Regions from separate parts of the Mus musculus genome. Here region 2 is reported to be linked to region 1. The links are microRNA targets in miRTarBase. Many come from high-throughput screens and were not tested one by one. Region 1 holds a microRNA gene; the other region holds the end of a gene's coding sequence.

The links. Region 1 holds the annotated microRNA mmu-miR-669f-5p (AGUUGUGUGUGCAUGUGCAUGUGU, at 2,226-2,249, shown strand). A microRNA usually pairs through its seed, bases 2 to 8, with sites in the 3' UTR of a target mRNA and lowers its output. Matches are read on the target gene's strand: a 7mer-m8 pairs with bases 2 to 8, a 7mer-A1 pairs with bases 2 to 7 and ends in A, and an 8mer does both.
Region 2: the mRNA of Lrtm1 is a reported target of mmu-miR-669f-5p. Seed matches in the 3' UTR shown: 7mer-A1 at 336-342.

What each region holds. Positions count from the first base shown.
Region 1 is chr2:10,465,023-10,470,022 of GRCm38, forward strand. It overlaps Mir669f (microRNA 669f), which reads left to right and starts at 2,207; the gene lies at 2,207-2,327. All of the region lies in intron 10 of Sfmbt2 (Scm-like with four mbt domains 2), which reads left to right. Mir466m (microRNA 466m) reads left to right here and starts at 1,641; the gene lies at 1,641-1,724. Mir466f-1 (microRNA 466f-1) reads left to right here and starts at 1,922; the gene lies at 1,922-2,015. It also overlaps Mir669e, Mir669b, Mir669d, Mir466f-2 and Mir669l.
Region 2 is chr14:29,027,250-29,032,805 of GRCm38, reverse strand. It overlaps Lrtm1 (leucine-rich repeats and transmembrane domains 1), which reads right to left. Exons shown (of 3, transcript NM_176920.4): 3 at 1-5,482. The coding sequence ends at 5,052. The region is part of intron 27 of Cacna2d3 (calcium channel, voltage-dependent, alpha2/delta subunit 3); the gene reads left to right. Among named protein-coding and RNA genes, the nearest start is that of Lrtm1, 12 kb to the right of the region's middle.

The sequences.
Region 1 (5,000 bases):
CAGTCACCCCATGGAAATGTTTGCCAGAGTTATGAGGATCAAATCCATGCTTAACTTCATGAAGAGTTAGAGATCAGCCTGGATTCATGTGATGCGCTCTATGTATGTGCATGTGTGTTTATGTGTGTGTGTATGTGTGTATATGAATATATGTATACACACATATGCACACACACAACACACACACACACACACACATGAATGTTACTCATTGATCCATTTGAATGATAAGTGACTTAGAGTTTTAGAGATGCTGCAGTACTGGGCCACCAAGGATATGCATGTGTGTATAGTTGTGTGCATATTCATTTTTCTATATGAATATGCATATACACGCATGCACACACACTCACAGGAATGGCCAGAGCTATGTCTCAGGTAGGAGGTGAATATTCTTGCCAGTGTCAGGAGGCTACAGAGTTCAAATTCATGCTTAACTTCATGAAGAGTTAGAGATCAGCATGAGATTCATGTGATGCCCACCAAGAAAGTGCATGTGTGCATAGTTGTGTGCATATTCACTTCTCTATGTGAATATGCATATGCACGCATGCACACACGAATGGCACTCATATATCCTTTTGAATGATATGTGACTCAGAGCTTTAGAGCTTATGCAGTACCAGGTCAGAGCTATGTCTCAGTTAGGAGGTGAAATCCCTTGCCAGAGTCAGGAGGTCCTGGAGTTCAAATTCATGTTTAACTTCATGATGAGTTAGAGATCAGCATGCGATTCATGTGATGCCCACCAAAAATGTGCATGTGTGTATAGTTGTGTGCATATTCATTTCTCTATATGAATATGCATATACACACATGTACACACATGTACACACCCACACCCACCCACCCACACACACCACTTAGAGTAATGGCATCATATATCCTTTTGAATAATATGTGACTCAGAGCTTTAGAGCTTATGCAGTACTGGGCCAGTGTGTTGTTTCACTCGTTAGCTGAATACTTTTGCCACAGTCAGTATGTTTCAGAGTTCAAATTCATGGTTAAATTCATGATGAGTTAGAGATCAGCCTGGGATTCATGTCATGCCCCCCATGTATGTGCATGTGTTTATACTTGTGTGTGCATGTACATGTGTGCATATCAATATATGTACACATACACATACAGACGCACACACATACATGCAGGAATGTCACTTGTCAATCCATTTGAATGATATGTGACGTAGAGCTTTGGAGATTATGTAGTATTGAGTGAGGGTGAGGCTTCAAATACCAGGCTAAAATCCTTGCCAGAGTCAGGAGGATCAGGAGTTGAAATTCATGCTTAACTTCATCAAGAGTTAGGGATCAGCCTGTATCATGTGATGCAGCTTATGTATATACGTGTGTGTTCATGTGCATGTGTGTATAATATAAATATAAATATACATACACACTAACATAGACATGCACGCGTGGAAAAACACACATGAATGGCACTTATCAATCCATTTGTATGATATGTAAATTAGATCTTTCAATACTATGTAATACTGGGCCAGTGAGACATCTCACTCACTAAGTAAAAACGCTTGCCAGAGTCAGGAGAATAAAGAGTTCAAATTCATAATTAACTTCATGAAGATTTAGAAATCATCCTGGGATTTATGTGATGGCCCCTATGTATGTGCCTGTGTGTGTTCTTGTGTGTGCATGTGCATGTGTGTATATGAATATACATATACATACACACATACACACGCACGTACACACACACAAACACACACATACAGGAATGGCACTTATCAATCCATTTGAATGGTATGTGACTTAGAGTTTTAGAGATTATGCAATAGGGGACAGTGAATGTTCTCACTCACCAGGTGTAAACGATTGACAGAGTCAGGAGGATCAGAAGTTCAAATTCATGCTTACCTTCAGTTAGAGATCATCCTGGTATTCATATGTATGTGCATGTGTGTTTACGTGTGTGTGCATGTGCATGTGTGTATATGAATATACATACACATACACACACACATACACACACATGCAACACACACATATGAATGACACTCACTGATCACTTTTAATGATATGTGACTTATAGTTTTAGAGATTATACAGTACTGGGCCAGTGAATGGTCTCACTCAGAAGGTGAAAATGCTTGCCAGAATCAGGAGAATCAGGAATTCAAATTCATGCTCAACTTCCTGAGAATTTAGAGATTAGTCTGTGATTCATGTGATGCCCCCCATGTATGTGCCTGTGTGTATAGTTGTGTGTGCATGTGCATGTGTGTATATGAATATACATATACATACACACACACGTATAAACGCAAGCACAAACACACACAGAGGAATGGCACTCGTTGATCCATTTGAATGATATGTGACTTAGAGCTTTAGAGATTATGTAGTATTGGGCCACTGAAACTTTTCATTCACCAGGGAAGGCTTGCCAGAGCATCAGTATCCAGAGTTCAAAATCATGCTTAACTTCATAATGAGTTAAAGATCAGCCTGGGATTCATGGGCTGTACCCTATATATGGGCAGGTGTGTGTCTTGTGTGTGCATGTTCATTTGTGTATATGAATATGAATATACACACACTTACACACTCATGCACACACACACACATCCATTTGAATGATATGTGTCTTAGAGCTTGAGAGTTTAGGCAGGACAGTGCCAGGGAGAGATCTCACTCACCAGGTAACAATGTTTGCCATACTCAGGAGGATTAGGAGATGAAATTCATGCTTAATTTCATGATGAGTTAGACATCAGCCTAGAATTCATGGGATGTCCCCCATGAATGTATGTGCATGTGTATATAGTTTTGTGTGCATGTGCATGTGTGTCTATTAATGTACATATACATACACACAAACATATACACGCATGCGCAGATACAGACACAGAAATGGCTTTCATCGATCCATTTGTATAATATGTAAATTTACTGGGCCAGTGAGACATCTCACTCACCAGGCAAAAACATTTCTCACAGTCAGGAGAATCAGGAGTTCAAATTCATAATAACTTCATGATGAGTTAGAGATCAGCCTTGTGTTAATGTGATGACCCCTATGTATGTGCATGTGTGTATATTTATGTGTGCATGAAAATGTATGTATATATGAATATACATATACATACATACCCACACAAACATGCACACACACACAAACACACCCACAATTGCCACTTACCAATCCATGTGAATGATATGCAACCTAGAGGTTAGAGATTGAGTATTCCTTTGCCCAAAAGAGCTCTCTCTCTCTCACCAGGTGAAAATGCTTGCAGAGTAAGGAAGAACAGCAGTAAAAATTTATGCTTAATTTCATGATGAGTTAGAGATCAGCCCGGGATTTGTGTGTTGCTTGCTCTATATGTGTGTATACTTGTGTGTGCATGTATATGTGTGTATATGAATATACATATACATACACACCCATATACACACGCATGCATGCACACACACAAATACATATACACAGGAATGGCACTCATCGATCCATTTGAATGATATGTGACTTAGAGTCTTATAGATTATGCAGTAGTGTGTCAATGAACGGTCTCACTCACCAGGTGAAAATGGTTGACAGAGTCAGGAGGATCAGGAGTTCAAATTCATGATTAACTTCAGTTAGAGATCATCCTGGCATTCATGTGATGCCACCCATGTATGTGAATGTGTGTTTACGTGTGTGTGCATGTGCATGTGTGTATATGAATATATGTATACATACACACACACATACACACTCATGTAACACACACACACACACACACACGAATGGCACTCATTTATCCATTTGAATGATATGTGACGTAGAACTATAGAGATTATGTAGTACTGGGCCAGTGAGTGCTCTCACTTTCTAGTTGAAAATGCTTGCCAGAATCAGGAGAATCAGGAGTTCAAATTCATGCTTACATTCATGAGGATTTAGAGATCAAACTGTGAATCATGTTTTGCCCCCCATGTTTGTGCATGTGCGTATAGTTGTGTGTGCATGTATATGTGTGTATATGAATATACATATACATACACACCCATATATACACGCATTCATATGAACACATCAACACACACGCAGGAATGGTATTCATCGATTTATTTTATTGATATGTGATTTAGAGCTTTAGAAATTATGTAGTACTGGGCCAATGAAACTTTTTACTCACCAGATATAAACGATTGGTATAGTCAGAAAGATCTGGAGTTCAAATTCATGCTTAACTTCATAATGAGTTAGAGATCAGCCTGGTATTCCTGGGATGTACCCCGTGTATGTGCATGGGTGTATAGTTTTGTGTGCATTTGCCTGTTTGTATATGAATATACATATCCATACATACAATCATATACAGGCACACAAAGACACACAGACATGAATGGCACTCAGTGATTCATTTGAATGATATGTCACCTCAAGTTTTGGAGGTTATGCAGTACTTGGCCTGAGAGGGGTCTCAGTCAGCAGGTGATAATGTTTACCAGAGTCAGTAGGCCCAGGGCCTGGCAAACGCAGAAGTGGATGCTCACAGTCAGCTATTGGATGGATCACAGAGCCCACATTGGAGGAGCTAGAGAAAGTACCCAAGGAGCTGAGGGGATCTGCAACCCTATAGGTGGAACAACAATATGAACTAACCAGTACGCCCCGGAGCTTGTATCTCTAGCTGCATATGTATCAGAAGATGGCCTAGTCGGCCATCAGTGGAAAGAGAGGCCCATTGGTCGTGCAAACTTTATATGCCTCAGTACAGGGGAACGCCAGGTCCAAGAAGTGGGAGTGGGTGGGTAGGGGAGTTGGGGGGGGAAGGGTATGGGGGACTTTTGGGATAACACTGGAAATGTAAATGAAGAAAATACCTAATAATAAAAGAGTTCAATTTTATCCTTAACTTCACGATGAGTTAGAGAGGAGCCTGAGATTTTTGTGATGATCCCGTGATGTATGTGTGTATATTAATATACATATACATAAACTCATACATACACATACATGTGACACCCACATATGAATGGCAC
Region 2 (5,556 bases), not on the chromosome of region 1:
CACCTACAGTGGTCTGGGCCCACCCTCATCAATCACTAATTAGAAAAATGCCCTACAGCTGGATCTGATGGAGGATTTTTCTCAGTTGAGCTTCCCTCATTTCAAATAGTCCTAGCTTCTGTTCTGTTGACATAAAATCAGCCATCACAACTTTTATGTGAATTTCTACTGGATCATTTACTGGTGTGATAACTTAGGACTTTTGCTTTCTAGGCTCATGTGCAATGGGACAGTAGACACCTATGGTTTTCATTAGAAGGTAGATAGAAAATTAATTAATGTGCTTAGAAGATGCCTGGCGCCAAGCTGGGTGTTTGTCTTGGCTAGGTTTCTAGTGTTGTGATAAAACACCATGACCAAAAGCAACTTGGGGTGGAAAGTGTTAATCTCAGCTTACATATCCACATCATAGTCTGTCATAAAATAAATAAATAAATGAATAAGTCAGGACAGGAACTTAAAGGCAGGAACTGAGGCAGAAACCACTGGCTTCTCTCACAGTGGCATTCTCTTATAGAACTCAAGGCCACCTTCCCAAGGGTGATGCCACCCACCATGAGCTGGGTCATTCCACATTAGTCATGAATTAAGAAAAATGCCCACAGGCCGATCCTAATTGGGGCATTTTCTCATTTGAGGTTTCCTCTTTCCAAATGACTCTAGCTTGTGTCAAGCTGGCATAAAACTAGCCAGCACCACACCCAGTGAAGATTGTTGGCAGTGCTGTAATTGTCTTTATCTAAGTGATTAGTACAATGATGTCATAGTCTAGATAGAGCAGCTAACTATACAATGGACAAAGGGTAATAGGGGATTAGTTTGTGTTATGCATGCTAACTGCATGCTTCTGCAACTGGATTTATCAGTCACACAATGAACTGTGTGTGACTTTTGGCAAGTTTCTTCCCTTTTCCATGCTTCTAGCTCCTAGCTGTAAAATAAAGACACTGAACTATATCGACGTAGCAAATAACTTTAATCCCTTATGTCAACTCTAGTTGATCTCTTATGGGCACCTGGAAAACAGATTTGAAAGGCTTCTGAGGCCTGGCCTGGAATCAGTTGATAAGTATGCTGTGATCTGTTAGCAATGCCCATGATGGACAAGGAGACCAACGGCAACTGTGCTGACATTTTCCAGGCCTCAACAGAACGGTCTTCAGGGCCTTCCCTAGCTCCCTCGATTTGTTTTCTGGGTCTGCTTAATGGATGTGTGAGGCTATAGGTGACAGCCTATTCTTTTCGAGGATTCTGAACAGACAGTGTCTTTGGAATGGGAATAGAGGTGAATAGCCCTGTCAAGAATCTGAAAGCCTGTCAGAAAGTTATAAGGCCTCCTCTGAATGAGACAAAGGTTTCTTTGAGACCTCATTGTAATTTAAGCATTTAAATAAATAAATAAATAAATAATCAATCCACTAGGGGGGAGATGGGATGGTCCCCTGAAGTTTTGAAGAATATCTTGTTCAGGGATGCCTGGTAGGTTGAGGTGTCTGGTCTTGTAGGTTTCTGACAGTAGCATGTAGGGAATCTAAATGGACATTGGAAGTAGTGACTTCCTGATCTGCACGGGAAGTTACAGGTCTTGAATGACTAGTGTATGACTATGAATATGGAGCACAGATAGAATATTTTAGAAACCAATTTAGCCACTTTCAATATTCAGAGTATGAGGCAGAGGGGGTCTGTCTTCAGTAGTTCTCAGTGAACTTCAGCAATGGGGTTTGACTTCCAGGAGCCTTCTGCAGGATGCTCAGGTGTGGATCTCTTTTCAGGTCTCTGTTCTCATAAGGCAAAACAAGATAACTCCTTTATCCACTGGCATTTTATCGTCTTAAGCACAAGTGTCTTTCCAAGGGCTTTGAGGTCCCCACCTTACCTGTGCAAGCTTTTTTGATTTGACAGCAGGTCTTTCTTCTCACATACTGCCTCACTCTCAGCATCACATGGCTGACATGCCCTTCTCCTTTGAGCTTCACTACAGAGAGCTGCAGTGGCTGTGAACTCAGGTCTCTGCAGGAGCAGAAATCACCTGCCTGTCACCACACGGTTACGCTACTTTTAATGGAAGCATGCCATTTCAGATGACTTTCTCTGAAGCAACACTACACGTGCCTTTTGCCCTGAGCGCCTCCTCCAGTCTGGCGCTCTGGCGGAAGGACGTTCTTACAGGGGACTCTATGAATAGGATGGCAGTAATAAGCAGCTGAAAATAATCTGTGAGGCGTTTGTAAATTGCCCCTCGTGAGCTGCAGTGCTCATGAAAGATAATTTGTGGTTCTTGCAGAATACCCTGAAAACTGGGTCTTTCATCTGCTGTGCATTTTGCAATTAAAACATTTCATTTCTCATATTAGCAAATGATAACTCCACATTTGTTCATCTAAACAACTTGATTTATATTTTTCTGTTCTGAGGAGCTGTTGACATTTCAGAGTAAGTAATTATTTTCACTGCCAACTGCTGTGTGTGGTGACTGTAGGCAAATGATAGAAATCTGAGTCTACAGATGCATCACTTAACTCCTCGTGCTTAAAGACTACCTATTAAGCCAGAGGCCTTTTGCGTGGGTTATCATCTGTACATCGACATCTAATAGGATCAGGGTGTTGACAGGCGAGGGTTTGCGCCACGTTCATGGTTTGCGCAGTGTACTAGAAACTCTTTTATGTAATCTCTGAGAGGAGAGGGCAAGGCTGATCTGCAGCATCGCCAAACCACTGACAGGGCAGAGTACACTTGCAGTCCTAAATCACTTGTTAGAGGAGGTATGTACTGCTGGCCTTGGGAGTTCTTAGGGCATGTGCTAGCTGCCCAAGACTCCACGGGGCGAGTGTCAGAATTCTATGAGGAATGCTCATGAGAACAGTGAGCCATGCCTGCTAACAGCGTGAGCTTGAAGAACATTTGGCCAAATCAAGAGGAAGAGTAAAGGAACTTTCTCAATTTCCTCTCGCATTATGTTTTTGGCCAAAAGGAAAAAAAAAAAGGTGCAGTTAGGACAATGGAAAGAAATGCTTTTTTTTTTTTTAGTTTGAAAGTAGTTGCTACATCCTTAGAATAGAAACTCAGTCACACAGTTGAATTGAGCTACCTTGGCACAAAAGAGAGATGTCAGGGCAAATGACAGCCCATGCAGCTGTGGGCCTTTGCTGGGAAATCTTGGTGTGCTGTTCCCTTACACGTTATAATTTTTAATGCATATTAATTACATGCACTAATGGGGTTCATTGTGACCATTCACATTTAAACTTCTTCTGCTATTAAAAAAAATTATGTAGCTGAATTGATACTCCAAAATGACAGTCTGCCCTTAGCCCACTGGTATATACAAGGTTTCCATTGCTTATAGCACACTCAACAGCTGTCCATCCCAACATGTGCACATCCCATTTATATTCCGGTTGAGGAGTAGACAACTGACTGGGGATCCAAACCAATTTTTACATGGCCTTGAGGGGTGAAGTCGAGCCAGTACCCTGAATGGCAAATGTGCTTTATCCTTTGAACCAACTCCAATTGATTAGTTCTGGTTGCCTATAGTGCTGTCTTAAGAAACCATCTGTGGTATATTTGAGGCTCAGCTGGGAAAAGAGCTGGGATTGATTAGCAATGTCTGTCATGGGCTCTAGAGGAACAGCTTGCCCCATATTTGTCATTTTCTGCCTTTAACATGTCTTTAACTCCTCTGTGCTCTCTTCCTGTGCAAAAGAGTTATAATCCTAAAATGTGCCTGTAGTGTAAACAGAAAGAGTAGGTATAGGTATATTCCACTTTAAGAAACCCTAGCATAGAAATGCAAATTTGGAAAAAAAATGCATCAATCTGGAGCCAATTATTTCCATTACAGAAAAGATTCCATGAAAGGTTCCTTTAAATAGCGAGCTCCCCTGCTGCATTCAAATGATGATTCAATTTATAAAAATTCACTTTGCATGCAACTCTCTCAGACTAAGTCTGTGGACTCTGCAAGCCATACCTGAACTTTTTAAAGCCATGCTGAAGCACTAGCCAGGATGTCTGCCCTCCAGTGCCTCGAGTCCCGCGCCCACCCCCCAGTAACTCCCACTCCCCCTCAAACTTCCTTCTTATTTCCTATCCCAGAGTGTTGAGCATACAATCTGGGTGGTGATCAACAGCTACTGGCTCCCACCCGACACGGCTGCATTTCATTAGTGGGTAAGCTGATTGCTCCAAGGGTGTTTATGTGTGGGTGTAGCTGTACAAATCCATGCCCTCTGTGCACTGCAGATGTAGATGTGGATGCAGAGACACAGCCACCATTCAGCCTAAGCAAAAGCCATCCCTGCTGGGAGAGTTCTAGGATAAGGTTCCCATTGCTTGGTGGATATGGTCTCTTGATGATATCTGCCCTGTATTCTAGTTTACTATTCTCTCTGTGTTCCTTCACATCAAAACCTTGCCCAGGCTCCGGGCCTGAGTCCCATTATCCAGACATGGAACCTTCATCTTCCCCTGCAGCTTAGAGAGCCCCAAATGGTTTTCTGATTTAGAAAATTAAATATAATCTGAGTCTTGTGGCCAGCTATGAAATTCCCAACCAACAGACATTTCCACTAAATGTGTAACATACGCAACATCTCAACATCCTACCAATCTAGCATGAACTGGAATTAAGAGGCAGCCAGTACGGGTCGGGTAAGAGCACTAGCCAATTCCCAGGCACTCCAACTGGTGGCCCCAGAGCTCTTAAAAATGCCTATTGGCACACATGTCCGAATTCTTATTGCTCTGCAGAATCCAGCTTAATCCAGAAACAGGTACCTAAAAGAGATGGCGTCGCTCTTCTTTTTGTTCCTACACATAGACTTCTTGTCATATCTTCTCAGTTGCAAGATATGAGTGTGTCTATTATATCTATGGTATTTAAACTTCTTCCTACTGAGTACTTTGTTTTATTTTTTGGATACATTTTTTCCTTAGTTGTTTTGGAAGATAAAACATGGGACAGGAGCATCGAACACATCAAGCTCACTCAGATATTTCTTCCGGGCCCTCAGTGATCGAGGGGACCTTGGAAATGAAGGCTCTCAGGCTGATGAACTGTCCATAAGTTCCTTACTTCCCATCTTCTCAGACTTCCTGGCTGATGCCAAGGGTCTCCCTTGGTACTGGGCTGTGATGGCTGCATAGGTACATCCATAGATAGCAGCCGCCAACATCATGAGACATACGATCCCACATACTACCCCAGTGATGACCACAGTAGCCACAGCATGGCGCAGGTTGGTTGGCTTTGGTTTGGGTTTGGCCTCACACTCCAAGGGATCTTGCTGTCCTGAGCTATTCTCATGAGACTTCTGGGCATCTTGCGGGGCAGAACCAGGCTGCTGGACTAGTGAGGGTGCCAAATCCTGAGAAGGTAGAGAACAGGGTTGGTACAGTTCGTGAGGAATGGAGAGGAGAGCCTTTCCCTGCCAGGGTTCAGGCAGCCTGCAGATGGCACCATCTGTTTCTCCCCCTTCAAGAAACAAAGCAAAGAATGATGATGGAGCTTTGATACAGCAGTATTCCAAAGTCCTCAGCCTGCCACAG